6 linked regions of the Cricetulus griseus genome follow. The protein of the gene in region 2 purifies or fractionates together with the protein of the main gene of each other region. This does not show direct contact. Links are inferred from orthologs where the notes say so. Each region holds a gene or a part of one and is shown on either strand. Other genes may lie near its edges. The genes, in order: Ddx20, Strap, Csde1, Snrnp70, Tgfbr1 and Szrd1.

Region 1 (5,224 bases), on a different chromosome or scaffold from region 2:
ACCATAACAGACTGTACCTTGAACTGTGGTCCAGAAAAACAAAACCAAACCCCTTCCCCTTAAGTTGCTTTTGTCAAAGTATTTTGTCACAGTAACAGGAAAAGAAACTAAGAGAGGAAGGAAGAAGTGAGGAATGAGTCACTCTCTGACGGGGAATGTGCTTAAATAGTAAAGTGTTTGCTTAGTATGCCAAAGTTGTTTCAACCCATAGGAAAGAGAAAAGCAGACAAAGGAAGTCATTTCAATGCCTCTGTGGTGCATGGCCTGGGCAGAGAAGAATCTGGACTGGGAGGCCAATAGGGAAGGGTTCAATAGTTAGAGTGACCAAAAGACCATGAGTAGATACTATATTGAAAAGGAGTGAGGGAGATATTTGGAGACATCATCTGCCAGTAAATTGTCAGAAAGAGGGTGAGGGCAAAGAGTGGATGAAATACGTGAGCAGCTAAGAGGGACCTTATTAGTTCCTCTTCCTTCACATGGCTAGTGGGTGCTTGCTGAGTATTTTGTAAATCAGTAAGCAAACAGAATCCATCTCCAGCTCCCACTTCTAGTGAAATTTCCTTGCCAAAGATATTTCTACACAATTGGGATATGGGAAACAAGACCAGAATTATACGTAGGGACAAATGAGGTTTGTCATAGGTCTTGTCAACTTGAGAGTAATACTCAGCTAGGAGAAAGACTCTGCAGGTGTGTGTGAGAGGAAAATAGCGTTCAATGTGTCAGATTTTTGTTTTTCCTCCTAGTGGCAGAAGAGAACAAGTCAGAATAGTTTCCTGCCTTCGGGGGAAGTGAGGGAGACAATAAACATTCATGAAGAGTGACCAGGGGTGATAAGGCACACACCTGTCATCTCAGTATTTGGGAAGTCGAGGCAGGAGGCCAGTCTGAGCTGCATAGGGAGACTTTGTCGAAAAAGAAAGAAAGAAAGAAAGAAAGAAAGAAAGAAAGAAAGGAAAAGAAAGAAAGAGAAAGAAAGAAAGAAAGAAAGAAAAAGAAAGAAAGAAAAAGAAAAAGCCAACCAAGCTAATCAAACCAAAAATCAAACAAGTGGTGAGAATAACGGGAAAGGCCAGGGAGCAGGCAGGACGGGGGTGACTAAAGATTTCAAGAAAGACCTCTTACAACAAGGTGACATGTGAGCGGGTCCAGAGGAAGGGGAAGTGGTGTGCTAGTTGCCCACCCGAGATCGGAAGGAAGGGCAGACAAAATGAGTTGAACCGGAGAGCTCTATTAGCCTGGAGATTCGAGAGAGCGCCCACGCAGAGCCTGGGAGTTGGCGGTCCAGTCAGTCTCCCGCACTGTGCTAAGGGGCTGGGGCGCCGACGTGACAGGGCTCTCCGAGGGCAGGGAACCCCGTTTTGCTGTGTTCCGGGGCGCTGTCTGCGAGCACTGAGGAGCAGCGGGGAAAAGTGCGGAGGACGAAGACTTCGGCGCGGCCTCAGTCAAGCTAGACCGGGGCAGCGGAGCCCAGCGGCGGCCGAGCCTGACGCTCTGGCTGCGTCACAAAGCGCGCCGCGAGCGCCGGGTTCCGGAGCAGCGCCGCGCGGCCCGTCCGTCAGAGCCGCGGGAGGCGGGCGGCGCCCACCGCGGGCACGCGACGCCCTCTGCAGGCCGCCGGCGGCAGCACTGGTAGCCTCATCTTCCTCGCTCCTCCCGCCTCTTCCTCAGGCTACATTTTTGTCCGTCCCCAGAGCGCCAGCCTCCGACTTCCGTTCGTTTCCTCCACTTCCAGGCCGGGTGCGTCCGTGTCTTCACCGAGAGACTGACAATAAAGTTTTTTCCTCTTCTCGCTCCCAGGAGCCCCGCCTCGACTCCAAATATCGCGAGATCTCGAGGCGCGGCTACCATGGCGGCGGCATTTGAAGCCCCGGCGGCCTTGACAACCGCGGAGTCCGCTATGGCGGCGGAGCGCGCGGCCGTGCGGTCCCCGGCCGCGGAGCCGACTCCCAGCTCCCCGTGGAGCCTGCGGACCGCTCACGACATCGGCGGGCCGCGGACGCGTACCGGGGACGTGGTGCTGGCGGAGCCCGCGGATTTCGAGTCGCTGCTGCTGTCGCGGCCGGTGCTGGAGGGGCTGCGGGCGGCCGGCTTTGAGAGGCCGTCTCCCGTGCAGCTGAAGGCCATCCCGCTGGGGCGCTGCGGGCTCGGTGAGGACCGGGGCCGGCCGCGGGCGGGGGCCTGGCCCCGGAGAGCTCCGGCTCCGCGCCTTTGCGGGGCTCGGCAGTGCTCGAGGCGCGCAATTGGATCGGAAGGCGCCGGGTCCAAGCTGGAGACGAGCAGCGGTAGAGATTCGGGGACTAAGGGGCTGGAGAAATGTCTCCGTGGTTGATGCACGCCTCGCGCGCGCTTCAGGGTCAACTAAAAATATAGGTGACAGTTAGGTGGTCTTAGGAGAGAATCCGGCCGTTCCCTGGTCCTATATTGGTATCTAGTTGCTTCAGCGAGTCTTGCTAATGATACCTATTCTTTTTTTCTTTTCTTTTTTTCTTTCTTTCTTTCTCAGATTTAATTGTTCAAGCTAAGTCTGGCACTGGGAAAACTTGTGTATTCTCCACCATTGCTCTAGACTCCCTTCTTCTTGAAAACTACAGTACTCAGGTGAGTAACTCAGAGGATCCAGACGGGGGGTGTGTAGCACGTGGCCTCTAGCTAGACTTATGAAAAACTACTGACTCCTCACAGATGGTGTGTTTGATGAATCGGAGAATGTGAAACCGTAGGAAAATTACAGAAGTAAACTACATAGATGGTAAGGTCGTTGAGTTGTGGCCGAGAATATCATTATTAAGTTTTTTTTTTAAATTTGGAGTCTTCTATAATTACATTTTGAATATGTGTTACTTAAAATCATTATGCAATTAAGAAACTTTTTCTTGGGCTGGAGAGATGGCTCAGTGATGAAGAGCAGTGACTGCTCCTTCCAGAGGTCCTGAGTTCAATTCCCAGCAACCACATGGTGGCACACAACAGTCTGTAATGAGATCTCCTGTCCTCTTCTGGCCTGCAGGCAGAACGCTGTATACATAATAAATAAATAAATCTTAAAAAAATTTTTTTAAAAAAACTTTTACTTACTAGATTGGGGTTAGAAATAAACTTAAAAGTTTTGGTTTATATAATACGCTATGGCAGAACTTAATATGGTTGTGGTTTTTTTGGTTGTATCCCCCCTCACCCCCAAAGGGTTTCTCTGTGTAACCTTGGTTGTCCTGGAACTTGCTTTGTATATTAGGCTGGGCTCGAATTCACAGAGATCCTCTTAATTTTAGGTTGCCTTGGAATAGTTTGAAGATTGTCCTACTCAAACTAGTAGGAAATATGGGTTTGGGAGATAATTCTTCAAAAAGATTTGTTCAGTTAGTAATACATGCAAATACTACACTAGGCACTGGGGATTAAGCAATGAGTTGGATGTGGTCCTCCCACCATCTTCTGGAGTGTAGTAGTATAGTAACTTTATTTCAGGTTAAGAAGTGTCTGTTGTGATGATGAATCTTGAACAGTGTTGGTTTTTTTTTTTTTTTTTTTTTTTTTTTTTTTTTTTTAACCCGGGATCCTTGTATTTGTTGTCTAGGAATCTTTTTGAGCTCTGTATCCACCACATTCTGGCAGATACTGAATATAACTTAAGGACAGTGGCTAGTCTATTTGTAAATTAAGATGTGTTTGAGAGAGTTTGGCTTGTGACACTTGGCAGCATACCAAATCCTAAACCTAAGTAAAATTCCCTTTTTTTTGTTAAAGTATTTATATTATTAAAGTGTGTGTGTGTGTGTGTGTGTGTGTGTGTGTGTGTGTGTTTATCAAAGTAACACTACATAATTGTTTTAAGTTGGGAAATTTCAGGGAAAAGAACAAAGTACCAAAGAACTCTAAATATGTGATGTGTACCCAGAGTTAAGAGATTTTTAAAAAAATATATTTTTATTATTTCCTTGTCTTTTTTTTAAGCAATATTTTCTTATAGTGACAATATGTATGTTCTGCAGTTTTTACTATGTGTGGCTCTCATGGCCTTTGGAACCTAACTCTGGGAGTTAACTCTGAGATAGAGTCCTCTTAAAATCTTAGTACCTGGGCCTTTTTGCTGCTCCTTATGTGTACCTTAAGGCCTTTGGATTTGCTTTTTCTTTTTCTGAAGCACTGCTTCTGGTGTGTTCCACAACTAGCTCTATGCTGTATGTCTCAAATGTTACTTTCTTATGGGACTTTTAAAATTCTTTGTTTGTTTGTTGGAAGCAGGCACACTCTACCTAATTCTAGCTGGACAGAAGCTTACAACATAGACTAGTCTTCAGTTTGAGGCAATCCTCATATCTCTGCTTCTAGAGTGTCGGAATCATAGGTGCATGCCAAAACGTCACTTCGGAAGGGCTTTCTGATCATTTAAAATGATTTCCCTTGTCAGGTCTTTCTTTTTTCCCTATTTGATTTTTTTTTTTAAATAATACTTTTTATTACATGTATATGTTTTTGTTTATGTTATAACCAAAAAGTGCCAAGAGAGCAATTCTTTCACAACTTGTATGTTTTCTCCCATATAGTACGTTCTTAATAATTAACCGAATAAATGGAATATTTTCTCCTGTTTTAAAACTCCTCTTACAATGAAAAGTAGTGTAGCATGCAATGAATGTATCACTCATATGTATTCTTCTGACTTGTTAAAGTAATATTTATAATTTATTTTAGATTTTGATATTGGCTCCCACAAGAGAAATTGCTGTTCAGATACATTCTGTTATCACAGCCATTGGAATAAAAATGGAAGGATTAGAATGTCATGTCTTTATTGGAGGGACTCCATTATCTCAAGACAAAACCAGACTTAAAAAGTGTCATATTGCTGTTGGATCTCCAGGTGAGTTACTAATACCTGTTGGTACCTGATGTTCTTTGTGAAATGTAACACTGAATGCGACTATAGGTAAATGGGAGTCTTTGATCATGGGGCTAATTACTTTCACTAGAAGTGAAGAGCATTAGACTAGTGAAACACATGGCTGGATTATCAATAGAATCTGCTTGTCTCCATTCTAAAGCTTGTTTGGGATTTCACTTGGGATAGGCTTCTGAAATAATGACCTGACTTTCAGGAAGCCTGTCTAAGCCATGGGTTGAGATTTCTGTTGTTCTTTCTGGTAATTTGCTCATAAATCACTTAGAATCTAGAATTCAATCCCTTAGCATTTGAGTCTTTTGATAGCAGTGGTGCTTG
Region 2 (4,913 bases):
CTTCCTGACTTCCCAGTCCCCTTCTGAAAACAGTATGCAAGGCGGTGAACTTCTTAATAAACTTGCTTGGTGCCAGGCAGTGGTGGCACAGACCCTTAATCCCAACACTTGGGAAGTAGAGGCAGGTGGATCTCAGAGAGTTTGAGGGCAGCCTGGCCTACAGAGCGAGTGCAAGGACAGCCAGGATGTTCACAGAGAAACCCGGTGTTGAAAAATCAAAACAAATAAATTTGCTTGGCATAAGACATAGGTACCTCCTGACCCCAAGTTTCCAGTCTTTTGATCTCCTGGACCTTCCTTTCAGGAACCTGTCACTGAAGAATGACCTATTGGTCCAGATCCACCCATCTTGTCTTTTTGAGACAGGATCTCTCACTGGTACTTGGAACTCACTGATCATGGAGCAAGCCCCAGGGATGGTTCGGCCCATTTTCATCTTATGATCCGGTGCTGGACGATACTCAAGCATCACACAGTACACAGGTCTCTCTTCCTAGTGGGGGTGTTGGGGATCAAACTCAGCAATCCATCTCATTAGTAAATAGCCATTTCCTGACCGTGCACTAAAATGCCAGTCACTTGTCTGACATCAGGGCATAAATGTGGAAGGCATAACGGTTTTACTTAGGAACTCAGGACTGTGTGAGTTGTGGTGGCGTGTGTGCACAGAGACAGAGACAGATGTTCGGTAGTGGAGAGAGAATGGCAGTGGGGTTGTTACTGGGTAGACGGCTAGATTTAAGTTGGTAGCACTGTCTCCCCAGCGGCCGGCATGCTCCAAAGGCCCTTGCTTCATCCTTACTTCATTAAAATGTCGCTTACACGGCTTTGTTTCTCGATCCACCTGTTTGTACCCTCGTCCACAGATCGATGGAAGGAATAACCAGAAAAGGGAAAGCTGATTCTCCATGATTTGGGAGAGGAAGTGGGTCATCTTACCCCCAAGAATGCTACCCACCTCCTAAGTATTCATAAAAAAAAAAAAAAGTCTGTAACATCCACAATCCTTGAGGACTACTCCCCAATCCTTCCTCCAGGGCATCGCACTCCACTCTCTTGGGTGCACGCGCTTGCTTCGCTTTGCCAAACAAACTTCAGGTTAAACTCGTCTCTTGCTTGATTCAGTGCCCTGCTTGGAAAAGCACAGAACCAAGGGACAAGCCTCCCCCGCCTTATGTAACAGCGTCGTTTAATCAAAGTGCAGGAAATACAAGAAAAGACAGACACAGTATTTGCTGATCATACACGAACAAAGCATTTCACACACACACACGTTGCTGAGTCAGACATGAATAAAGAAGAGTGCAGATTGGGGTTGGCGAGCGAAGGCCCTAGTCGCCCACCCTGACGACCCGAGTTCGATTCCCCGGTCGTCCTCCGGAGGGTGTGGGCCGCGCGGGGCACGGCTCCGGGACACGTGGCCGCTCGCGGGAACAACCTTTGGATCCTGCGCATCCCGAAGGGGCAGCGGGAGAGGCTGCCAGCTGCTCACACGGCGGCCTAACGCGGGCCGCGACGGCGCCGCCGGCAACCGCGGGGGAGCGCGGGCCGCGTGACGTCAGCACCACGGGCCGCGCGGTCCGCGGCGGCTCGCGCCCTGCGCACTCCGCTCCCCGCCGCGCGTCACTTCCGCTGGCGCGCGGCGGCGCGGCGGCGGGCGTCACTTCCTGCCGCTACCGGTGTGGACGGTGTGGCGGCAGGCCGGCTCCCCGGCGCTCCCTCCCCTCCTCCCTCCCTCCCTGTCCTCCCTCGGCGGCCGCGCGTCGAGGGGACTCCTGACCCGGCCGAGCTCGGTGTGAGTGCGGGGGAGAAGGACACCCGCCCGCGACCCACGCTCGGCGCTTGGCCTCGCCCGGCTCCCCGCCGCCGCCGCCGCCGCCCCGCCATGGCCATGAGGCAGACGCCGCTCACCTGCTCGGGCCACACGCGGCCCGTGGTGGATTTGGCCTTCAGCGGCATCACGCCTTACGGCTACTTTCTGATCAGCGCTTGCAAGGGTGAGCCGAGCCCGGCGCGGCCGCGGGCCTCGGTTGTCGGAGGGAGGGGGTGCGGGTGGGGATCGTACCTGCCAGCTAAAGAGAGAGAGGGAGAGAGGGAGGAGAGAGAGAGAGAGAGAGGAGGAAGGAGAGAGAGGGAGAGAGGGAGGGAGGGAGAGGAGAGAGAGGGAGAGGGAAGGAAGGGGAGAGAGAGACGGGAGAGAGGGAGAATGAGAGAGAGACAGAAAGAGAGGGAGAAGGAGGGAGGGAGGGGGAGAGAGAGAGGGAAAGATAGAGAGAAGGAGGAAGGAGAAAAAGAGGGAGAGAGGAAACGGGGAAAGAGAGGAAGGGGGTGAGAGAGGGGGAGAGAGACAGGGGAGAGACAGAGGAGAGGGAGAGAGACAGAGAGGGAGAGGAGAGAGGGAGAGAGAGGGAGACAGGGAGGGGAGGGGGAGAGAGACGGGGAGAGGGAAAGACAGAGAGAGGAAGAGGGAGAGAGAGGGGATGGCCTTCACCGCCCCCCTCGCCTCCCGTTTTTATTGCTCTTTGGGGGACTGCGCCTGTCAACACACAGAACTCCATGGCGTCTCCCGAGGGTTTACTGGGAAGGAGAAACGAGGCCAGGCCGAGAGGAGTGCTTTTTTTTTTATGTCTTCGCGCTCATCTCATTGTATCATTCTTTGTGGTATGGGCCTCATCCCCCCCCCCCCCAGGGGAAAGTATACACTCAAGGTTTAAAGTCGGTTCAAAGTCAGAACGCCTATCTTGATTGTTTTGACACAAGTCAGTGGCTTCCAGACTTATGCTTTTTTTTTTTTTAAGTTTTCTATTCATGTGGGCAAGTGTGTTGTGTGTGTGCTTCCTTGTACATGTGTGAAGGGTTGCCCAAACAGTTTAGAAGAGAGCTGGAGTCAGAAGGGGTTGTCGGCCTCCATGTGGGGCACTGGGAATCAGAATCGGGTCCTCTCTCCAGACAAGTGTTTTGAATTCTTGAGTTTGCTAAGGTGAGGGAGGCCTCTGAGCCATTCCCCAAATCACTTACACTTCCCAAGAGGAGTGACCAGAATCCATTAGTTCACTAGACCACAGATGCACAGATCAGTGCTTCATGATGGGGACCCTCAGCGCCTGATGAGAGTAAGCGGTAACAGTCAGCAGCGGTTTTCCAATTGCTGTTCAGTATTTGATGTTATGCTGCCAGCTTCTAAATCACGTGTCTTAAAATGTTTTCTAGATGGCAAACCTATGCTCCGACAGGGAGATACAGGAGACTGGATTGGAACGTTTTTGGGTCATAAAGGTGCTGTTTGGGGTGCAACGTTGAATAAGGATGCCACCAAAGCTGCCACAGCAGCCGCAGATTTCACGGCGTAAGTGCAACACAGATGGCTAACTCTGTTCCCAATTGTGTGGTGACATGGCCAGAATCTTCAGTTCTGACTCAGCTGGTGCCATGGAGAACAACGTATGTTTGATCTCACCAGGATTCCGTCCTGGCTGTCTGTGCCCAGTGTCATCACTGAGTCCCCAGACTTGAAAGGTTTAAATGACTTGCCTCTATGCCTTTGGTTGAGACCAGAAATCTTTATGGTTATTGACGTAGCCTGGATAATGGATGTTGGTGAGGCCCTTTACAGACGTTTCTAAATTGAGTGCTATGTGTGCTATCTCCAGATACTTTTTCAGTCAGTTTTTAGTACCAGGATACATGTAAAACTGGGCCTCACACTTACACATTGTTTCCTATGGCTTTCGATTGTAGTCTGAAAGATGCTTGACTTTCCTTAGACCTTCATTTTTGATTCGATTTTTGATTCTACTGGTAGTCTCTTGTGTTTGCCCAGGGCCTTAGTTCAGGCTCACCTTAGCTCCACACTGCTAGGGATTTCCTGTTATTTCTGTTGTATTGCTGCCAATCAGTCAATTAAATCATGTCTCTTCTGAGGATTTGGTCTTTACAGTTTTACTTCTTCACCTTGGGTGTACAGGAGAGTAACCTGGAGAGCTTTAAAAATATTATTCAAATGTGTTCTGTGTGGTTGGTCTGGGTATGAAGTGCTGTCTTTTTCACTCAGGTAATGTCTGCAGTCTTTGAACCACTAATCATTAATTAATCCCCTCATTCTAGTTCCTTTTGTCTTTTTGGTACAGTCTTTGATGTACTAAACCATTGTCACAATGCACTTCACCTGTTTTTACTTTGGGTATTGTGTATATTATCAAACTGACTTACAGTGAGTATGTGTTCTTTCCAGGCATGTGTTCTATTGTATATTACTACACCTGTGTTTGTAGCCACCTGTTTTTAAACCAATGAAGGCACCTTTTTATTTGCTATTGCTTGTGCAAATGTGTGGGTGTGCAAGTGTGCATGGTGGGTGTGTGGAGGTCAGAAGACAGTTTGGGGCGTGGGTATAGGTTCAAGCTGTCAGGCTTGAATCTTTTGTCTACTGAGCCACCTCGATGACCCAAAGAGCTAGAGAGTGGAAATGGTCTGTTGATTTCTTGTTTAAAAGAATTTCTTACTAAGGAGCAATTGTAAACTGTGTTGCCACCTTTGATTTAAGCAAATTAAAACACTAAATTAAAAAAAATGAACACAGCTTTTAACATATTACCATATGCCCTTGTTGAGTTCCAGACCTTTCTATACAGCACAGTGAATCTTACTGTATGTAAATTTAAAAATTAATGGAGTTTTAAGAGACAAGTAATGTTGCACGGACTTTGCTGTGCCTTTGAGGAATCAATTGCTGTGGCAGCATTGTGTATAGCCATTGTGAAACTTTGCACTGCCCTGTTAGGATGTTACATAAATCTGATTTTAAAAACTGCCACAAATCCTTCTATGTTAATGTTCGTAGTCCCAAAGTTGCTTGAGGTATCAGCCTGCGTATTATATCAAAAGATAAAGCACTATTCTATAGCCCTGCTGGC
Region 3 (3,885 bases), on a different chromosome or scaffold from region 2:
GGATCTGCATCTGTCCTGTGATAATGTTGATAAGCAAATGTCATCAGCCAATATTATGTAAATTTCCCCCCTACTATATAGCTTTGACTGGCTTGGAACTCACTATATGGACCAGGTTCTCCTCAAATTCATAGAGATCTACCTGCCTCACCCTCTTGAGTACTGGGATTTAAACTGCCATGCCTGACTTACGTAGTTTTTGGTTTTTCAAGACAGGATGTTTTCTCCATTGTAAACTTTGTGTGTGTGTTTTCTTTTTCTAGTTTGGCTTTATTAACTATGAAGTAGGAGATAGCAAGAAGCTCTTTTTCCATGTGAAAGAAGTTCAGGATGGCATTGAGTTACAGGCAGGAGATGAGGTGGAATTCTCAGTGATTCTTAATCAGCGCACTGGGAAATGCAGTGCCTGTAATGTTTGGCGAGTCTGGTGAGTTTGTTTGTTTGTTTATTGTGGTTGGATTAGTAATTGCCCTGAGTTCATTCCCCTAATTTGTATAATCTGTGCTTTGCCAGATGTCTTTCCTTTCCCACTCTTGTCTGTTTGGGTTTATTAGGTACTAGGTACTATTTTCCACTTATGCCATTATCTGGTTTTGTCTTTGACTCTAGTCACTGGTTTCAGACAGGTCTCACCTTATTATTTATGACTGACCTTGATCTTGCTGGCATGTGCCTTCTCCCATATCTCTCTTTCTGTCTCCAGGTTTTTTTTTTTTTTTTTTTTTTTTTTTTTTTTTTTTTAATCTGACCTTGAGGCTGTGAGACACACTTAGGTGCTGTTATGCATTAGCACTGGATGTGCTGGTCTTCAATATTAAAAGGTTACATAATTCTTAAATTCTTAGGAAATTCAGCTTATTCTTTTTTTTTTTTTTTTGTCTAGTCATTTCCAGGCCTGTGCTGCTTAAATGTCTAATTTTTATACCTTAGTCATCATGACTCATGCTATTAGGGTTTTTAATCTCAACATTGTTTCCTTTAAAGATAGAAATCTAGAACTGTTCATGTTAGACTTCTTAAAAGGTTTTCCATGTGTTACCTGTGGAATTAGTCTCTCTGCAGACAAGTCTAGGGTCTCACTGAAACAATTCTTCACAACACCTATCCAATTGCATCTGAATTAAGAAAAGCATCTATAACCAAACTTGTCTGTCTTGTCTTGCTAGCCAATTAAGTTGAGGCAAGAGTCCCTCTCATTAAAAGTGAGTCATTTGGGTAGGAAACCTACTCACTGATTGCCTTCTTCCCAGCAATTGTCAGTTTTTCTCACTTTCACACTTACAGTGAAGGCCCCAAAGCTGTTGCAGCTCCTCGACCTGATCGATTGGTCAATCGCTTGAAGAATATCTCCCTGGATGATGCCAGTGCTCCTCGTCTAATGGTTCTTCGTCAGCCAAGGGGACCAGATAACTCAATGGTATGATTCCATTGGGGATTTGAGGGAGGTCAACTGATAATATTCAATTTAAAGAACTTAATGAAGCAAGGATTGCTTATCACTAGTTAGGGTTTCCGGACACATTTTCTGAAAGAAGCTTTTTCCATTCCTTTTAAGATAGGGACATAGCAGATCAGAGTGGCCTTGAACTCCCCACTCTGCCTTTGCTTTACCTGTCGTAGGATATGCTTCTTGGTCTAGGTCTACTTTGTTCTTACTCTTAGGAGAGAATTTGTAGTGGATATGATAATTTAAAAATATAGTTTCTTAGAATTTCATATTGTGATTGTCATACACTCAAATCATTAACTGTTTTATTTCTTCACAGGGATTTGGTGCAGAAAGAAAGATCCGTCAAGCTGGTGTCATTGACTAATCACACCCACAAAGCACATCATTAATCCACTATGGTCAAGTTGGGGGGATTCTGGTGAAGGGTTCTGAATATCTTTCTCTTCATCCCTCCCAAAACCTGGAATACTTATTCTATTGAGCTATTACACCAGTTTTAACACCTTCCTCGTGTTATGTTTAAAAAAAAAAAATAAATAAATTTAAGAAACCATTTTAAAATTATGCACAGTTGCAGCCTGGGAAACTTAAGGTGGCGCCTTATAGTATCAATTTAGGAGCTTTATTTGGTGCATTTAACGCAACTGGTAATTGCAAATTCCACTTCGCCTGTGTAAATGAACAATACAGACTGTTACCTTGTTGGCCCTATGAAATTCTGCACTCTATTCAGTATATACTCTACCTTCATTACTTAGCACTCAGCCGCATTCTTTTCCTTTTCTTTCCTGTTCATTATGCTTTAATTCTGAGGACCATATGAAGGTAGAATATATTACCTTTAAAAAAAATTACAAAAATTTATATAGCAAACGATTTTCTTAAGTTGATGGCCAAATGTTAAAATGTTATTTTCATATCATTTATAATCTTGTCACAATCCACTTAACGAGTTTGATTACATTTCAGTGAAAATTATCTTCCAGATAGGTTTTTTTTTTTTCTTCCTGGGATGGGGGTAAATAACTTTACTACAATTAGTATGTGTGGTGCAGAATTTCATGCAAATGAAGTGTGCCAGCAGTGTGATAATTTAAACATATTTAAACAAAAGACGAATGCACAAAATTGCTGCTGCTTAGATCACTGCAGCTTCTAGGACCCAGTTTCTTTTACTGATTTAAAAACAAAACAAACAAAAAAAATAAAAAAGTTGTGCCTGAAATGAATCCTGTTTTTTTTATAAATAGCCCCCTGGTTCCAGTGTCCTGTTGAATATAGGCACTTGATCCTGGTGTAGCTTCTGTTCAACTTTGTATCACGGGAATGGATTGGCCTGATTTCTCTGCCCTCTTGAATTGGCCCCAAACAGGGTCTCTGGCAAGTGGAGTGAGTGAAGGCTTTTTGTCTAAAGATGACAAGAGTCAGCTCAGGGGTTGTGGGGAGGGCGCTTTCATCTTCCCCGTTGTCGTTTGAGTATTTGATCTCTGGGTAAAGAGGCCATTTATCTTTGTAAACACAAGACATTTTTTGCTTTCTCCGTTTTTCTGTTAATGGCGAAAGAATGGAAGCGAATAAAGTTTTACTGATTTTTGAGACACAAGCACCCAGCGCTTTCATTATTGAAACCGGGGAGGGAGGGGAGGGACTGGGTGCGGCCAGCCGCAAGACTCCTAAGTCGCAGGCCCACGTGGCCGGGGCGGGGACTCGGGCGTCTGGTCGCCTACTGATTGCGTAGCGGGTGGGGCCGGAAGTGCTGCTCCCGGGTGGGGGCTGTTCATGGCGGTTTCGGGGTCTCTAACAGTTTGGCAGGTTGAGGTCCAAGAACCTCCCGAAGCGGGGTCAGCGGAGCTTGAGGTAAGGCTCTGCCCTGGGTGGCGACAGGCTCCGCGGCGTGCGGATGCCTGGCGGGTGCAGGAAGACGCGGAGACTCGGCGAGCTGGAGACAAAGGCCTGGGTGGGGGACCCTGGTTGCCTGCGGCGGGCGGTGGGGTGATCTTAGGAGCCGGAAAGGGGAGTTTCGGGAAGAGGTCGTGCCAGGTGAACCCCAGAGCTTGGATTTGCAAGACGAGTAGGACGGGGGCTTCCTTTCCTGTAGGTTGAGGGCGGGGCGGAGTACGATTAAAAAGTAGACGCGGGTCTTCAAGAAGCCGTGGCCGCACTGACCTCAACTGTTTTTGTGTTTGAATCACTTTTGAGAACTTAGTGGAAGGCCACGTGTATCGAATGAATGCCTTTGAAACTGATTTTAGTAACTCATTAAAGAAGCCTTTGAAGTACTGTAGGTTTGCCTTGCCAGTTTAATCGTAATTGCTGCTTTCCTACAGGTTTTTGCTGGTGTGAAATGACTGAGTACAAACTGGTGGTGGTTGGAGCAGGTGGTGTTGGGAAAAGTGCTTTGACAATCCAGTTAATCCAGAACCACTTTGTGGATG
Region 4 (4,436 bases), on a different chromosome or scaffold from region 2:
CTCTATATGGAGCCCTTCAGCTTGACCCTCGCTCCCTATGACTTCTGTGGGGTTGTCACCATAGTGGTCTTGGAGAAACTGGCTTTTAGGTTGGAATACTGTGTCCCTTCTATCTTCCTTGGCATGGTGGGAGCCTCTTGAGAAGGCAACTGATGCTCAGTGCCTGAGCTCCCCAGAGTGCATGGATTTGGGTTTGGGTTATGGGAGGGGTGGAAAAGGCTTCAAACAACTGAAGGTGTGGTAGTTTTTATTAAACATATACTGAGGCGGAAGAGAGGGAAAGAGAGAGAAGCCTAGACTGACACAATCACATGGTCTTGTTGCTGTTCTCGGGTTGGGCCTCTCCTGGGGTTTGGGATGGGGAACCTGAGCAGGGTTCCTGTACTTGACTGACCTCAGTTCTCAAGTTCCCTTCCCTGTCACTCTGCTCTGGGATTGGGGGCCAATCGGCCCCTCCTGGAGCATGGGAAGCATCCTATTTCCTGGATCCCAGGTGTCTCCCTTGTGTGCCAGTCTCAGCTGCTGCCACTAGTGGGCGGGCATATGGAATTGGAGGTGGAAAAGCCCGACCCCTGTACTGAGTGTTGGGCCTGTGACTAGTGGAGCATGACTTTTCAGGGAGTGGTGAGGCTGCAGGTGCTTTGAGGCCTTGGGGCCTGATGTTTAAGGTCAAACAGGATAGACCAAGCCCAGGCTCAACTCATTCCTCTGTGAGGCTCTGAGGCCCCTTTACTTCCTTCATCCACCTGTCTCTAGGTGATATGGGAAATGTAGACTCTCCCTCTCCCAAGACCTGGCTACCTACCCTGTAGCTTTAGCTACCCCAATGGTGGTGGGTGTGGGGGTCTGTGTGAGTGCTCAGGTAAGCTTGGGGTCTCCAGGTAAGCAGTCCCGTGTCCCACCCCCATCCCCCGGGAAGCCCGCCTCCTCACCAGGCCCCCAGGAGTTGCCGAGCCCCCCCCATCCCGCTCGGTTTGGACACCCGCAAGGCCGGCATCGGTAAATGGCACCTTTTTCTCTTCCTCTGGTTTTTATTGGGGGGGAGCGGGCAGGGGTGGGGCAGGGTATTGTGGTTGGTGAGCACAGTCCCTTAGGCCAGGGCTGGGACCTGGACAGGGACTTTTTAACATCCCTGCCTGATCACAGGCCTGAAGGCTGGGCCTCCCCACTCTGTCCTATGCTCCTCAACTTCCCTGAGGGCTAAGGCTGGGCTGTGTGCCCTGCTGGCCATTGAGCTTGGCCTGGAGGACAGAGCTGACCAGGCTAGGTGGTGGCAGGGTCAGTCTGCTCAGGTAAGGCAGGGATTTTGAGTAGCACGGCACTTGTACCTCTGGGCCCAGCCAGGGTCCTTGGAGGCCCCTGGGGAGCTCAGCACCCACCTCTATCTATCCCTGCCAGTTCCTTAAAGTCTCCACTCCTGTTCATTTCTGTTCTGATGTCTGTTTCCTCGCACTGACCTCCCTATGAAAACACAGAAAAAGAAAACTGGTGTGGCCTGGGTGTGGAGGGGCCCAGTGGGCCTCCTGCCTCAGCATGGTGTCTAGGGTGCATGCCTGGGTGTGGAGGGGCCTAGCCAGCCTCCTGCCCAGCATGGTGTCCAGGGTGCATGCCTGGGTGTGGAGGAGCCCTCCCCACAGCAGAGGCCAGCATTCAGCTAACCTCCAGTTTCTTTGCAGCAACTTTGGCCACCCTGGCATGAGGGGGCTGCTCCATCATATGGGAGCTGGGGGTGGCCAGGGTGAATGTTTTGCCCCCCAATGGCAATTGGGGGTGCCACAGAGGAATCAGGGACTGGATGGAGCAGGCCCTTCGGGCGGGGGGGGGGGTGAGACGAGGGCTGTCTGGCTGTTGGTTGCCTGGCTGACTGGTGGGTGTGTGAGTGTATGTGTGCAGATGGGGTTTGAGGGGCAGGGATGCTGTTGCATGGATCCTTGTCTGACTAGAGCACCTTCTGGGGAATCCCCCCTTCCCCACATCTGTTGCAGCCGCTTACAAGCACGCAGATGGCAAGAAGATAGATGGCAGGAGGGTCCTTGTGGATGTGGAGAGGGGCCGGACTGTGAAGGGCTGGAGGCCCCGGCGGCTAGGTGAGTACATTTTGCCTTCCAGGTACCGGGGCTTGTTTGTGGATCATTTTGCCTTCAGTTTCCCCAACTCATATGCTGCCTGTTCCCCTCTGTTTCCAGCTTGTCTTCTCTCATGCTCTTCATGGCTTAGACACAAACACCTACACATGAGTGTTGAGGGATACACAAACACCTACACATGAGCATCCAAGCCTACCCTGGTCTTTCCTGAGTGAGTGACCAGCAGCAGCTCTTGTTTCTGCATTGGCAGTAACTTCAGCACTGCCCTCAGCCACCTAACACCTAGTGTACTTGCTGTCTATCTTAGGCCAGGTTGGAGATGTCACTGGCTCCAGCTTTGAGCCTCCTCTCATTGAATGGTTTCTTCATTCACTCACTGTCTGAGTCACTAGCCCAGTTTCTACCTTTACATCTGGAGCAAGAGAACAGCAGCCTATGTGTGCTCTGACCTTTCATCTGTTTCCTTACTCACTCCCTTTATAGTTGTTATTGGCTATCTCCGTCGGGGTTGTTACTGTGGCAGGTCTGGAAATACATATGAGGGTTTTGAAGCATAAGGAAACGAGGGACCTACTGATGCAGGACTCTTGTCTCAGTCCTAAGCCCATGGACTTATGGATCCTCACCAAGAGGACTTTGAGGCTGGATGTTGAGAGATTGTGGACAAGTGTCATTCTCTGTGCTATTTGCCCATCTAATAGCTTAGTATTAGGCTATGCCTGGGATGCAAGTCTTGTGTGCCAGGAGTCTGTCTTGGGCAGCATTACCTGGCTTTGCTGAGTTGACCTAGCACCCCAACCCCCAGGGGCCTCCAGTTCTTAGAAAAAGAATGAGTACTTGAGGTTTGTGCTGGGAGATTCCTGAAATCTCAGCAACAAACCAGTTGTCCTGGTGTACAGACTTGCTGATAATGTGATAGTATGGGTTCACTCACACAGGCACACATGTAACCTTTGTGAAGCTTTTGCAGTACTTTTCCATATAAAGTGTGTAGAAGCATTTTTTATTACTTGAGTGTAGTTCTGAGAAAGGGTCTCAACGTGAAGCCCAGGGTAGCCTCTAGCACATGGTGATTTCTCCTGCCTTGCCCTGTTGAGTGTTGAAATTACATGCCTGGCTGTTTATTTTTAAAGAATTGTTTCGCTTGGTTTCTGAGGTTTCAGTCTCTGGCCTTACTGGTTCTGTTGCTTTTGAACTAGAGTGGTAGAGGGTAGGAGCTTGCCTCATCTGTGAAGAGAGGGTTTCTTTTTAAAGATGCTGTTGACATCCTCTTGTTTGATGGCCTAGCCCATTGTTAAGCTGGAAGTCTGGGTCCTGCTTTGTAGTAGTCCAGCCTGTTACCTATCCTAGTTTAACAGCCTAACATGTGACTGACCTCTGTCTTGTGTGAAGCACACTCTCACCTCTCTGGACCCTCTTCAGGTGGCTGGTGCAGGAGACCACAGACATGTGGGTTTCTCAGCTAGAAACTTGGCCTTCCTTGCCAAGTCACTGGGAGCAAGTGGCTCATTGGTGGTCAGGTACATACCACCTTTCTAGACCAGGCATTAAATCTGTGCAAATTCAGCAAAGTCCCTCTTTTTGTGGCACATCAAAATCTGAAGGGGTGAAGTTGTGGTTACCTTGCACAGTTGGTGGGCTTGAAAAACCCGCCTGACAGGCGCTGGCAGCCTATGACAGTTTAGTGGAGTAGCATGGTATGTTGATGAGAGCAGGATCTGCGTTGGTGCTTTGAGACTGACAGGGAAGTAGAAGGTAAAGACAAGGAGAGCATGCTTACTTGAAGGAAGATAAGGTTTATGCCTGTTGTGGGGAGCAGGGCAGCTAAGGAGGCTGAAAATGAAGGGTCCCCTGGGAAGCGGGGTGTGGCAGGTCTCCTTTTTCTATTTTCTCCTTTTTCAAGGTCTCACTTTGTAGCCTTGGCTGGTGTAGAGCTCATTGTGTAGACCAGGCTGGCCTCATGCTCAAGATAAACCTGACCCTGTCTTCCCAAGTATGGGATTGAAGGGGTGTAACACCATGCCCAGCTTCTTTCCACTTTCCTATGGGTTCACACTTTTGACTTTGTGCACAAAAGTGCAAGTTGCTAGTGTGCTAGTCTGGAGTCTCAGGTCTCAGGTGAGGTAGATTATCTTGGGAGGCATGAAGGTTCTTGTTAGGATGTCTTTGAGCTCTAGCACCTTGGCATGAAAATAGGTTATTCTGTGACAAGAGGACATGGAAATGATTGGCATGGGATTGTGCTCATTGCTGCCAGAAGAGGTACCTGGTTTTTGTCAGCTACTTAGGAGCCCCTCTCAAATTTGTCATTTGTACTCTGTTCCCACTGACCTTGTGTTCCTTTGCTTG
Region 5 (5,073 bases), on a different chromosome or scaffold from region 2:
TCATAACTGCCTGTAACTCCATTTCCAAGGGATCAGAGGCCCTCTTCTGTACTCTAGGAACACCTTAACAGGGTGCATCCTTGCAGGCACACACACATACATTCTACAAATAAGCCACATCCCCCAGCTATATCCCTTATTTGTAGGGTACTTGCATAGGTCTTTGGGGTGGGAGTGAGGTGGGGGCAGGCACTGGAGATTTCGGGTGTGCCAAGGCCCTCTAAGCCTCCCAGAGCCTATTGCATTTGAAGTTGACCAGTCTTTGCTGCCTCACTGCACTTGAGCCGGGCAAGCTGGGGGCTGATGATTCTGGAGCCCCAGAGAGCAGGCCCTGAGAGCCAGCCTGTTCAGGCTCTGGCAGGTGGAGGACTTGCTCAAGCATGCCCCAGCTGCAGCCAAGGAGGAGTCTCAGACCCCATCTCTAACCCCCACGGTTTCCCTTCATAGCAGGATCAAACTCTTGGAGAGTGACTCTAAAGCAATTTACCAATCGATACCAAAGGCCGGCTGATTCCTACTACCGAGCTTTATTTAATTACGAGTTCAAATCACACAGAAAATAAAATTTTCTCCTTAAAAGGTTCTGCGGAAAAATGCTGCCGGTGCCATGCGGCCGCCTCCGTGGCTGTGTTTGTGTCTGAAGAAAGGACTAGTCTGACAGGAAGAATTACAAATCTGGAGCTCATTTTGGCGTCCCAGAGGGAAGGTGGGTGGAGCGTCTCACAGTAAATTAGGAATTCAGAATGAAAGCGGAGCTGAGTTTATTTGGGTTTTTAGTGACACCTCGAAATTATTACACAGGCGTGTCGGAGACAGCTCAAAGTACCTTCGACTGCTCCCGCTTCGCCCCGGGGCGGGATGCTCGGCAGGGCAATCCCCCCTCCTTCGAAACCCGTGGGACTCTCGGCTTCCCTGCGGGGTCAGGAAGGGTGGGAGGGAAGGAGGGCGGCTGGGATCCCCGGTCTGGGTCTGTTATGCTGCTGAGAGGCAGAAGGCCAATCGGGGGTGTGTCTGAGCTCCACCTTGGGTATCCGAATCTGGGATCCGACTTTGGGACTGGAATTTGAGGAGGGGGCGACAAGGTCTGGGGCGGACGTAGAGAGCAGGAAGAAATCAGGTTATCTTTCGGGGAGGCTGGAAGTTGAGGTGTGAGTCTAGGGAAGGGAAGTTGAACTGCGGACGGTACTGAAGGACTGAGTGTCGAGAGTTGGGCTTTGCTGTGTAGGGTGGTGCAGGGGAAGTCAGGGTGGGGTTGGGGTAGAAGAAAAGAGCGAGCAACGGTCACAGTCTTTCCCTGAGCAACTCGCACAGGCACACTCTGCGCTTAGCCGGGACTTGCGGGCTCCGTCTCGCGCGCTGGCTGGACCCTGCCCCCACCCGCCGGTAGACCGCGAGTCGCCCCGCTGTGGCTGGAGTAGGGGCTCCCAGCTGTGCGGGGGCGTGGTCAGAGGCCCAGCAGTGCGGAGGCGTGGTCAGAGGCAGAAGCCGGCGGCCGCTTATTGGCCACCCAGAGGCCCCGCGGGCGGGGCTGTCGACTGGGTCCCTCTAGGGCGCTCTCGGGCGGCGGGGAGGCGGGGTCGGCGGGAGCCGGCCAGCCAATGGGCGCGCGTCCCTCGAGCAGTTACAAAGGGCCGGAGCGAGGCCGCGGCGGCGGCGGGGAGGTGGGGCGAGGCGAGGCGAGGCTTGCTGAGGAGAAGCTGCGGCCGGGGCCGGGCCGGGCCACAAACGGTGGCGGCGGGACCATGGAGGCGGCGGCTGCTGCTCCGCGTCGCCGGCTGCTTCTCATCTTGTTGGTGGCGGCGGCGGCGACGCTGCTACCGGGGACGAAGGGTGAGCGGCAGGCGGGCGGGCGGGCGGCTGCGGGGCGCGCGGGCCGGGCCCGGCCTCTGGCTGGCTTCTGCTCTTTCTCAAACATGGCGCGGGGCCGGGGGCGCAGGTGGCGGCGCCGGCCGGCCCGGGCTTTCCTGACCCGGCAGGGCCACGCGAGCCGAGGCGGGGAGGAGAGGCGGGCGGGGGCGGTGTCAGGCGCGGGTGGCCGAGCGCCGGGAGGCCGGCCCTCTTAGGCTCCCCGGGGGCAGCGACGGGCTAGCCTGCGGAGGTCGGGGGCTGCCCTTAGGGGCGCAAGGCTGGCCGGGACGGTGGCCCCGGTGGCCCTTCCCAAGTGCGCCGGGGCCTGGGGCTGCTGGGGCGTGGGCGGGCACCGGAGTGGAGGCGCTCGGGGGCTCGGAGCGTGGAGGGCTCCCCCGGGGGTCGTAAGGGGCGCCGGGGGCTGAGACCCCGGTTGGGCGGTTCTGTCGTGAGTGTCGGCACCCGCCAAGGGAGACTCTTCTTCCACCGGGGGCTTTGTGTGAGAAGCAGGCGCGAAGATGCGCGGAATGTTCTCCTTTCCTGCGTCTAGGAATAGTTCAGAGTCCAGTAATCAGAAGGCTCCGGGTTGTCTTGGTTGTAGAAACTTGAACGTTTGTTCACTCCAGGTTTGGGAACGTTTTAATGGGATTGATCCTGTAGAAATGGCCGAATGCTTCATTTTCTCGAAGGAATCGTTGTTTTGGATATATCGTTTCCTTAAGTGAAGGTAGTTTTAGATCAGACATCTGTAGCTGGGTTTGGGGGGGGGGAAGGTGTTGTGTCACCCCGTGGAGGGAAGAGTGAAAAACTTTACTCTTTGTTAGTAACCAAATTAAAACAGGAGAAAACAAAATACCGAGGCTCAGCATTAGCAACGAAAATGCAGTGAAAATGCATTTCTGTTGCTGAAATTGGATAACAAAATTTTTTAAAAAGCAAAAGCCGAAAAAAGTCCCTCAGGACTGTGGGTGCCGGCTATTATTAAACTTGATAGTCATTACTTATTAGGAGTCGATTTTAATGCATATACAAAAGGTACACCATAGTACAGTATCTGAGACCTGTAACTTAACTATCAGGGCTATCTGTATATTGACATGAAAACTAAGGTGCAAGAGATTTAACGTCTTACTAAGTGTAGAAGTTAGGATTTGTGTTTAGGTCTTTCAGAGTTCAAAATCGGGGCACCTGCTACACCAAAGTAGCATAGCCCAGGTAAAGAACAGTTGATATTTAATTCTTACAACTTAGGTGTCTTTCTTTATTTACTTGACCCATTCACATAGTATACAGTGGGTTTTAACATTGGCTTAGGAAGGAAGATAACTGTGGGCAAAGTGGGAGAATCGTTATAATTATGCATCAAATTTAAGTGGCCATTATTCTACACAGTTATTTGACTAAAGTAATTCATTCTTTTCTACCTAGGACAAAGCAGGACACATTCATATATTTAGCAGTATTGATTTGGATGCTGAGAAGGTTGGTCCATGCCCTGGAGGAGTTTATCTCCTACTTAGGCAATTGTGTAGTACAAAACTGGCCTAGATGCTTTTATTACTCAAAGCCTACACTAACACTTAATAAACTTTTCCCATTTGCTACCCTCATTTCTCAAGAAATTGTATGTAACCTTGAATATATAGATGTAGAAAGCAGGTATATAAGTCAAACATACTGATAATAGATCATAAATAAAATTATTTTAAAAATAATTCATTGGCACATACAGTTTACTACTGTTTATTAGAGATTAAAGCAAATTCTCATTGTAATGAAGTGGGTGAGTTTATTTTTACATAGAGAATTAAATCATCCAATGCCACCTCACATAATTGCATATGTTTAGAGCCATTTCAGAAATTGTTGTGTCTTAATCACCAGATGAAATTATTTTAACAGTTTTTAAAATGAAACTTAACAACTTAAACAGTTTTTCAAATCAAACATTCTAACTCAATACAATTAAGGATACACCCCTTTGATACACATGGGGAATGAAAGTCTTTTGTAGTTAATCAAGTTTCTGAAAAAGTAGAAAATTTTGTATGTACAATAAAAACATTAAAATTCGTAAAATAGGGGCTGGAGAGATGGCTCAGTGGTTAAGAGCACCTTCTGACTGCTCTTCCAGAGAACTTGGGTTCAATTCCCAACACCCACTTGGCAGCTAACAACTGTCTGTAACTCCTGTTCCAGAGTACCTGACACACTCATGCAGATATACATGCAGTCACAACACCAATGCACATAAGTACAAATATTTTTTAAAGCCTCATAAAATAATAGTCCAGACTCTGTTGGCATTGCATAGCATGACAACATGTGTGTTCAGAACTAAGGCTGCAGTGAAGTTGCATCATGCAACACAAACATGCACCTCCAGAAACATCTCAGAGTCATTGCTCATTTGATTTTGACTTACTTTTGGGTGTTGTGTATTCAGAAGCCCTTTATTGTTGCCAGAGTTGTTGTGACCCCCCCCCCACCTCTATATGCAGTTATGACTCCGTTTAAGAAGCAAGAAGCTATGGCCAACCTGGCATAGTGGTCCACACCTTTAATCTCAGCACTTGAGAGGCAGAGGCAAAGAGATCTCTGTGACTTTGAGGACAGCCTGGTCTACATAGTAAGTTCTAGGACAGCCAGAGTTACAAATTATACAGACCTTATCTCGAACCCCCACTCGCCCTAAAAGGAGGAAGCTGTGGCCTAGATAAGTTAGGTTGATGTTTCAGTGTATCCTTTTATATATTCAGAAGAAGCTCACATGCCTTTATAATTTAGCTTCTCTTAAAACTGGAAGTGCTCTTTACTGTCTGAGTATGATTTATATTTCACTGCCAGCTTCTGTTTTCTCCAATACATATTTTTGTAGGGAAATTGGTTCCTTGTCCCTGGTACACAGTATTACTGTTTATAGCTGCATCACATGTTAAAATGCTGTTTGTTGCCTGCCATTTCATGACTTCCTTGGAAAACATTCCTAACAGCTGAGTCCTGCCGGTTACCCCCTAAATCTACTTTTTCTGTAGTGTTTCTGTCATGGAACATTTTTATGAACTGATGCCAGACTAGTCCTGGGCTGTCTGTTGAAGTATGAAGATTTCCTGTGTAGTACCCAGAGCAGCACTTTAGGCTTATGACTAGGGCCATCCAACTAGAGAGATAAGCAACTTCAAACTCTAGTGATAGCTGCTTTTCCACCAGTTCCTGACTCTTAAG
Region 6 (4,436 bases), on a different chromosome or scaffold from region 2:
ATGGGCCGCCTCCACAGTGTATCGGCACCAGGAGGCAGGCTGCACAGAGCGGAGAGGATGGACTTTGACTCAGGCTCTGTCAGCCATTGGGTGTGTGTTTACCAGTGAGCAAATGGCCATAAGGTACTGAGCTCTGCCCAGGACCCCAGAAAAAAAAAAAAAAAAAAAGCCCAGTACCTGGGTCTCCAGCAGCCCCAAGTGAGTTTTTGCTGAAATTTTGATATTTTCATTTTTTTTTTAATTTTAGATTTGAATTATGTGTGTTACTCTCTGATAACATAGTATTTGTTAAAACTGCTTTTGGAGCCGGGTAGTGGTGGTGCACGTCTTTAATCCCAGTAACAGGGAGGCAGAGGCAGATGGATCTCTGTGAGTTCAAGGCCAGCCTGGTCTATAGAATGAGTTCCAGGATAGCTAAAGCTATACAGAGAAACCCTGTCTTAAAATAAATAAATGCCCAAAATTAAACAAAACAAAACCTGCTTAGGAGGTTGGAGACATGGCTCAGTCCGGAGAGCGCTCCAGCACATGCATGTGTGACCTGAGTTTGGATTCCAGTGCCCACGTCAAAGCTGGGCACAGGCTTCTGAGGTGGCTTAGCTGGGGGTAAGGGCGCTTGCTGCCAAGTCTAACTGCCTGAGTTCAGTCCCTGGAACTGTCAGGGTGGAGAGAGAACCAGCCCCTGCAAGTCGACCTCTGACCTCCGTTCTCAGGCTTTGGGCTGCTCATGTATACTCATGTACATACACACAGTAAGTGTAAGTGTGGTGATATTTTGTTTGTTCTAACAAATACAGCTTGCCTGAAGATCAGAGTGCAAAGCTAGCCACACTAGTTAGCCACAGAGGCCAGGCAGTGGTGGTGCACACCTTTAATCCCGGCACTCATGAGACAGAGGCAGATGGATCTCTGTTAGTTCAGGGCCACCCTGGGCTACATGAAATTGAACCAGTCTAAAAAAGAAAGAGAGCCCGTACAAAGGTGATCCCAGCACTTGTAGTCACATGCCTTTAATACCAGCACTAGGAGGTGAAGACAGGAAGGGATAGGGCTGGGCGAAGAGGACTATAAGGCAGGAGGAGACAGCAGCTCACTGCAGTCTGAGGAGCAGTGCAGTCTAAGTAAGTCTGAGGATGCAATTTGAGACAGGTTGGCCCCTTTGGTCTGAACATTGGTAGGAGTAAGAATTCTCTAGTGGCTGGCTGTTTTGCTTCTCTTAAGTATTAACTCCAATATCTGACTCTGGGTTTTTATTATTAAGACCAGTTAGAGCTCATGCTAGATTTAACATTTTTGTAAAAAGAAAATATGGTTGAAGATTGAGGAACAACCAGATGTTAGCATGCACACATAAACATACAAAAGCCTATTTTTTTTTTTAAAGATTTTATTTATTTATTATGTGTACAACATTCTGCCTCCATGTATATCTGCACACCAGAAGAGGGCACCAGGTCTCATAACGGATGGTTGTGAGCCACCATGTGGTTGCTGGGAATTGAACTCTGGACCTCTGGAAGAGTAGTCAGTGCTCTTAACTTCTGAGCCATCTCTCCAGCCCCCTCAAAAGCCTATTTTTGAGGCAGGGTCTCGTGTAGCTCAAAGGCTAGCATCCAAGTCACTACTACAGATGGGATAACCTTGAATGATGATCCTTCTGTCTCTACCTCCTGACTGCTGGGTGGGATTCCAGGCGTGTACCACCTCACCTGGTTTACATAGAAATGGAATTAAATCTAGGACTTCATACATGCTATGACACATGTCTAGCCCATAACTTTTGTCTTTTGACAGTTTCACCCTGTAGCTTAGGCTAGCTGGCAGTTCTCCTGCCTCTGCCTCTCCAGTGGTAGGATTTCAGCCTGCCATACCACACAGACTGTTGTTCCTTCTTTTCTCCCCAGTGTTGGGGACTGCACTGTTGGCCTCAAGACTGTTAGACAGGCAGCCTGCCTCGGAACTTGGCTCCAGTCCTCCGCCCTGAAGCCATCTTTGACTTGCTATTCTGGGCTTGGACAGTTGAGTTCCTTTTCTGTCCCTTCTTGGTGCTGTTTTGGTTTGCCTTTTGGCTTTTTGAGACCAGGTTCTCACATGCTAGCGTAGAATTCAGTGTAGCCCAGCTAGCCTTGCACTTAGGGTGGTCCTCCTGCCTCCCTGGCACTGTCACAGGCATGTGCCACCATGTCCAGTGCTGCGTTGTTTTGAAGGAACATCCATTCTGTTTTCTCCTCTTAGTCTGCACCTGTCTGGAGTGGGAAAAGTCCATTTCCTTCTGTCTTCTCTAGTACTAGGAGTCAGCAGCTAGCCTCGTGGTTTGGAGGGAAGCAGGAGGCAGACAGGTGGGTGCCAGCTCGCTCCTAAGCGCGTAGCTAGGGGCCCAACACTGGTGGTTCTGTGCAAGAGGTGCTGCCCATGGCTACTCCTCCCTCCATGGGATGGGGTACACACACTCCCTCTGTTTACAAATAAGTAATGCAAATGAGAGGGTGTTGGGGCGGGGGGAGGGGGCAATGCTGTAATTGCTAGAGGTTAACATAGACTGTGGACCACTACCTCCTTCCCACAGGGAGCTGCCACAGTGGAAAATGTCCCTAATCTGCTTGCCAAAGAAGTAGGCTCAGCTCAGTACCTCCAGTTGGCTGGTAAAACCCCAACCTCAGCCATGGGTTGATTTTAAGGTTCAGGGACTTCAGGCTGAGATGTGGCTCAGTTGGTATTAGTGCTGCAGCACAAGCATGAGGACCCGACTCCCCAGCACCCACATAAATAAAAGCCAAGCAAAGCTACAAGTGACTGTAACCCCACCCAGTGTGGGACAGAGGGGTGTGGAGGAGTTAGATGGATCCCTGAAGCTCATTGGCCAGCCAGCGTAGTCAGGTGGTGAATTCCAGATTCAGTAAAACCCTGTCTTGGAAAATAAAGTGGAGAGCAGTAGAGGCCACCTGACGTCTCTGGCAGTACACACACACCTATGCACACGTCCCCACACTCAAACAGGTACAAAAGAATGATTTGGGCATCTTTTATATCCTAAAGGCCTTCCTCTTTCTTATCTTCCTTTAGGCCAACCAGGATCTCCCAACCCGAAGACAGCAGGCAGCCCAGTAATGTGATCAGACAGCCTTTGGGTCCTGATGGGTCACAAGGCTTCAAACAACGCAGATAAATGCAGGCAAGAAAGGATGCCGCTGCCGCCGCCGCCGCCATCGCCTCCTGGATTGTCTGCCATGGGTTGCACTGCCGTGGCAGACATCTGGACTTGAGCAGAGGGAACGACCTGACTTACTTGCACTGTGATCCCCCTTGCTCCGCCCACTGTGACCTTGAACCCCATGCACTGTGACCTCTGCCTCCCCACCTTCCCACTGTGATTGGCATGTTGACAAGGGCTGTCCCAAGTCAATAGAAAGGGAAAGGGTGGGGATTAGGGGAGGATTGGGGGAACCTACCAAGGACTCAGAGTAGAGGGTCAGACAGTGCTACTTGGGGTAAAGCCAGTGCCAGCAATAAGTTTATCATGCTCATTAATTTGGGATTTCAAAACACAAATGAGAACTGCCCTCACCCACCCCAAGTGCATGTCGCCATCACTTAAAAGTAAGTTCCATTGAAAATATCCTTTCCTTTTTTTTCTTCCTATTTTTGTTTGTTTATACAAATATCTGATTTGCAAGAAAAAGTGCATGGAAGGGGTTTTAGCAGTTTAATGAATTTTTAATTGAGAAAGGGTAGTTTGGTAGTCACTTAAAGATGTTTCTAGGAAATTTGCTAGAAACATTAACCAATAGGATTTTGGTGAGCTTAGCTTCTGTATTCCTACTGCTGCCCAGAAAAGGCAGGGCTCTGGAGCCCCCAGTAGTAGATGAGCACTGTGCCTATATTGCCTTCCTCCAGCTAAGTCCCAGCTAAGTTGCCTAGAGACAGCTCAGAGAGCCAGGGGGAGGGTGCCAACCCCACCTCTAGTATTGTGGGAAATGGGGAAAGTGACAGATTTCCCCTTTCCATACCCCTCAGGGTGGCTCCCTACCAGACAGGTTTGCTGCTTCTAGAGGTGGGTAGGGCAGGGAGTGTCGGGGAGGAGACTATACTCGGGGCTCAGAGCAGGCAGAGGTGGCACTTGTCCAGTGTTTGCTGTCAGCACAAGCCCAGAGGAGTCTGGCTCAGGACTCCAGGCCTCTGCTGGTGTGGTCAGAGGTAGACAGACTAGAACATTTAAGGACCTGTGGCGTGCCACATCTGTTGATAGCCCTGGCTCAGAAACTATACCTGGTACGTTTCCTGGGTGAAATGAGTACCATAGGAGTAGAAAAGTTGGAGAAGAGTTGGGAAAAGAAAAACTTCGCATTGCTGAGGCAGCTGGTTGATAGGTTTCTCAGAGGCCTCTGCTGCCCTTTCCCTTCTTATCAGAACGAGGCTGGTATGCAGGCCATTTCTGT

Evidence for each region.
Region 1: the proteins of Strap (region 2) and Ddx20 purify together in Homo sapiens (affinity purification with mass spectrometry; 3 studies listed by BioGRID and IntAct, counting the BioPlex papers as one, with this or other methods). This does not show direct contact. The link is inferred for Cricetulus griseus from reciprocal best matches to the Homo sapiens genes STRAP and DDX20.
Region 3: the proteins of Strap (region 2) and Csde1 purify together in Homo sapiens (affinity purification with mass spectrometry; 3 studies listed by BioGRID and IntAct, counting the BioPlex papers as one, with this or other methods). This does not show direct contact. The link is inferred for Cricetulus griseus from reciprocal best matches to the Homo sapiens genes STRAP and CSDE1.
Region 4: the proteins of Strap (region 2) and Snrnp70 purify together in Homo sapiens (affinity purification with mass spectrometry; 3 studies listed by BioGRID and IntAct, with this or other methods). This does not show direct contact. The link is inferred for Cricetulus griseus from reciprocal best matches to the Homo sapiens genes STRAP and SNRNP70.
Region 5: the proteins of Strap (region 2) and Tgfbr1 purify together in Homo sapiens (affinity purification with western blotting; 3 studies listed by BioGRID and IntAct, with this or other methods). This does not show direct contact. The link is inferred for Cricetulus griseus from reciprocal best matches to the Homo sapiens genes STRAP and TGFBR1.
Region 6: the proteins of Strap (region 2) and Szrd1 purify together in Homo sapiens (co-immunoprecipitation; 3 studies listed by BioGRID and IntAct, counting the BioPlex papers as one, with this or other methods). This does not show direct contact. The link is inferred for Cricetulus griseus from reciprocal best matches to the Homo sapiens genes STRAP and SZRD1.

What each region holds. Positions count from the first base shown.
Region 1 is NW_023276806.1:51,318,996-51,324,219, forward strand, and holds the start of Ddx20 (probable ATP-dependent RNA helicase DDX20), read left to right. Parts: upstream 1-1,824; 5' UTR 1,825-1,852; coding exon 1,853-2,153; intron 2,154-2,509; coding exon 2,510-2,604; intron 2,605-4,698; coding exon 4,699-4,867; intron 4,868-5,224.
Region 2 is NC_048601.1:11,296,237-11,301,149, reverse strand, and holds the start of Strap (serine-threonine kinase receptor-associated protein), read left to right. Parts: upstream 1-1,668; 5' UTR 1,669-1,885; coding exon 1,886-1,997; intron 1,998-3,210; coding exon 3,211-3,346; intron 3,347-4,913. UniProt on the Homo sapiens protein: The SMN complex catalyzes the assembly of small nuclear ribonucleoproteins (snRNPs), the building blocks of the spliceosome, and thereby plays an important role in the splicing of cellular pre-mRNAs.
Region 3 is NW_023276806.1:53,913,209-53,917,093, reverse strand, and holds the end of Csde1 (cold shock domain-containing protein E1), read left to right. Parts: intron 1-263; coding exon 264-427; intron 428-1,284; coding exon 1,285-1,417; intron 1,418-1,766; coding exon 1,767-1,814; 3' UTR 1,815-3,053; downstream 3,054-3,885. Other genes in the region: GTPase NRas, read left to right, coding at 3,795-3,885. UniProt on the Homo sapiens protein: RNA-binding protein involved in translationally coupled mRNA turnover.
Region 4 is NC_048599.1:154,286,052-154,290,487, reverse strand, and holds part of Snrnp70 (U1 small nuclear ribonucleoprotein 70 kDa), read left to right. Parts: intron 1-1,985; coding exon 1,986-2,087; intron 2,088-4,436. UniProt on the Homo sapiens protein: Component of the spliceosomal U1 snRNP, which is essential for recognition of the pre-mRNA 5' splice-site and the subsequent assembly of the spliceosome. SNRNP70 binds to the loop I region of U1-snRNA.
Region 5 is NC_048595.1:96,062,870-96,067,942, reverse strand, and holds the start of Tgfbr1 (TGF-beta receptor type-1), read left to right. Parts: upstream 1-1,587; 5' UTR 1,588-1,598; coding exon 1,599-1,830; intron 1,831-5,073. UniProt on the Homo sapiens protein: Transmembrane serine/threonine kinase forming with the TGF-beta type II serine/threonine kinase receptor, TGFBR2, the non-promiscuous receptor for the TGF-beta cytokines TGFB1, TGFB2 and TGFB3.
Region 6 is NC_048595.1:12,131,031-12,135,466, forward strand, and holds part of Szrd1 (SUZ domain-containing protein 1), read left to right. Parts: intron 1-3,063; coding exon 3,064-3,166; 3' UTR 3,167-4,436.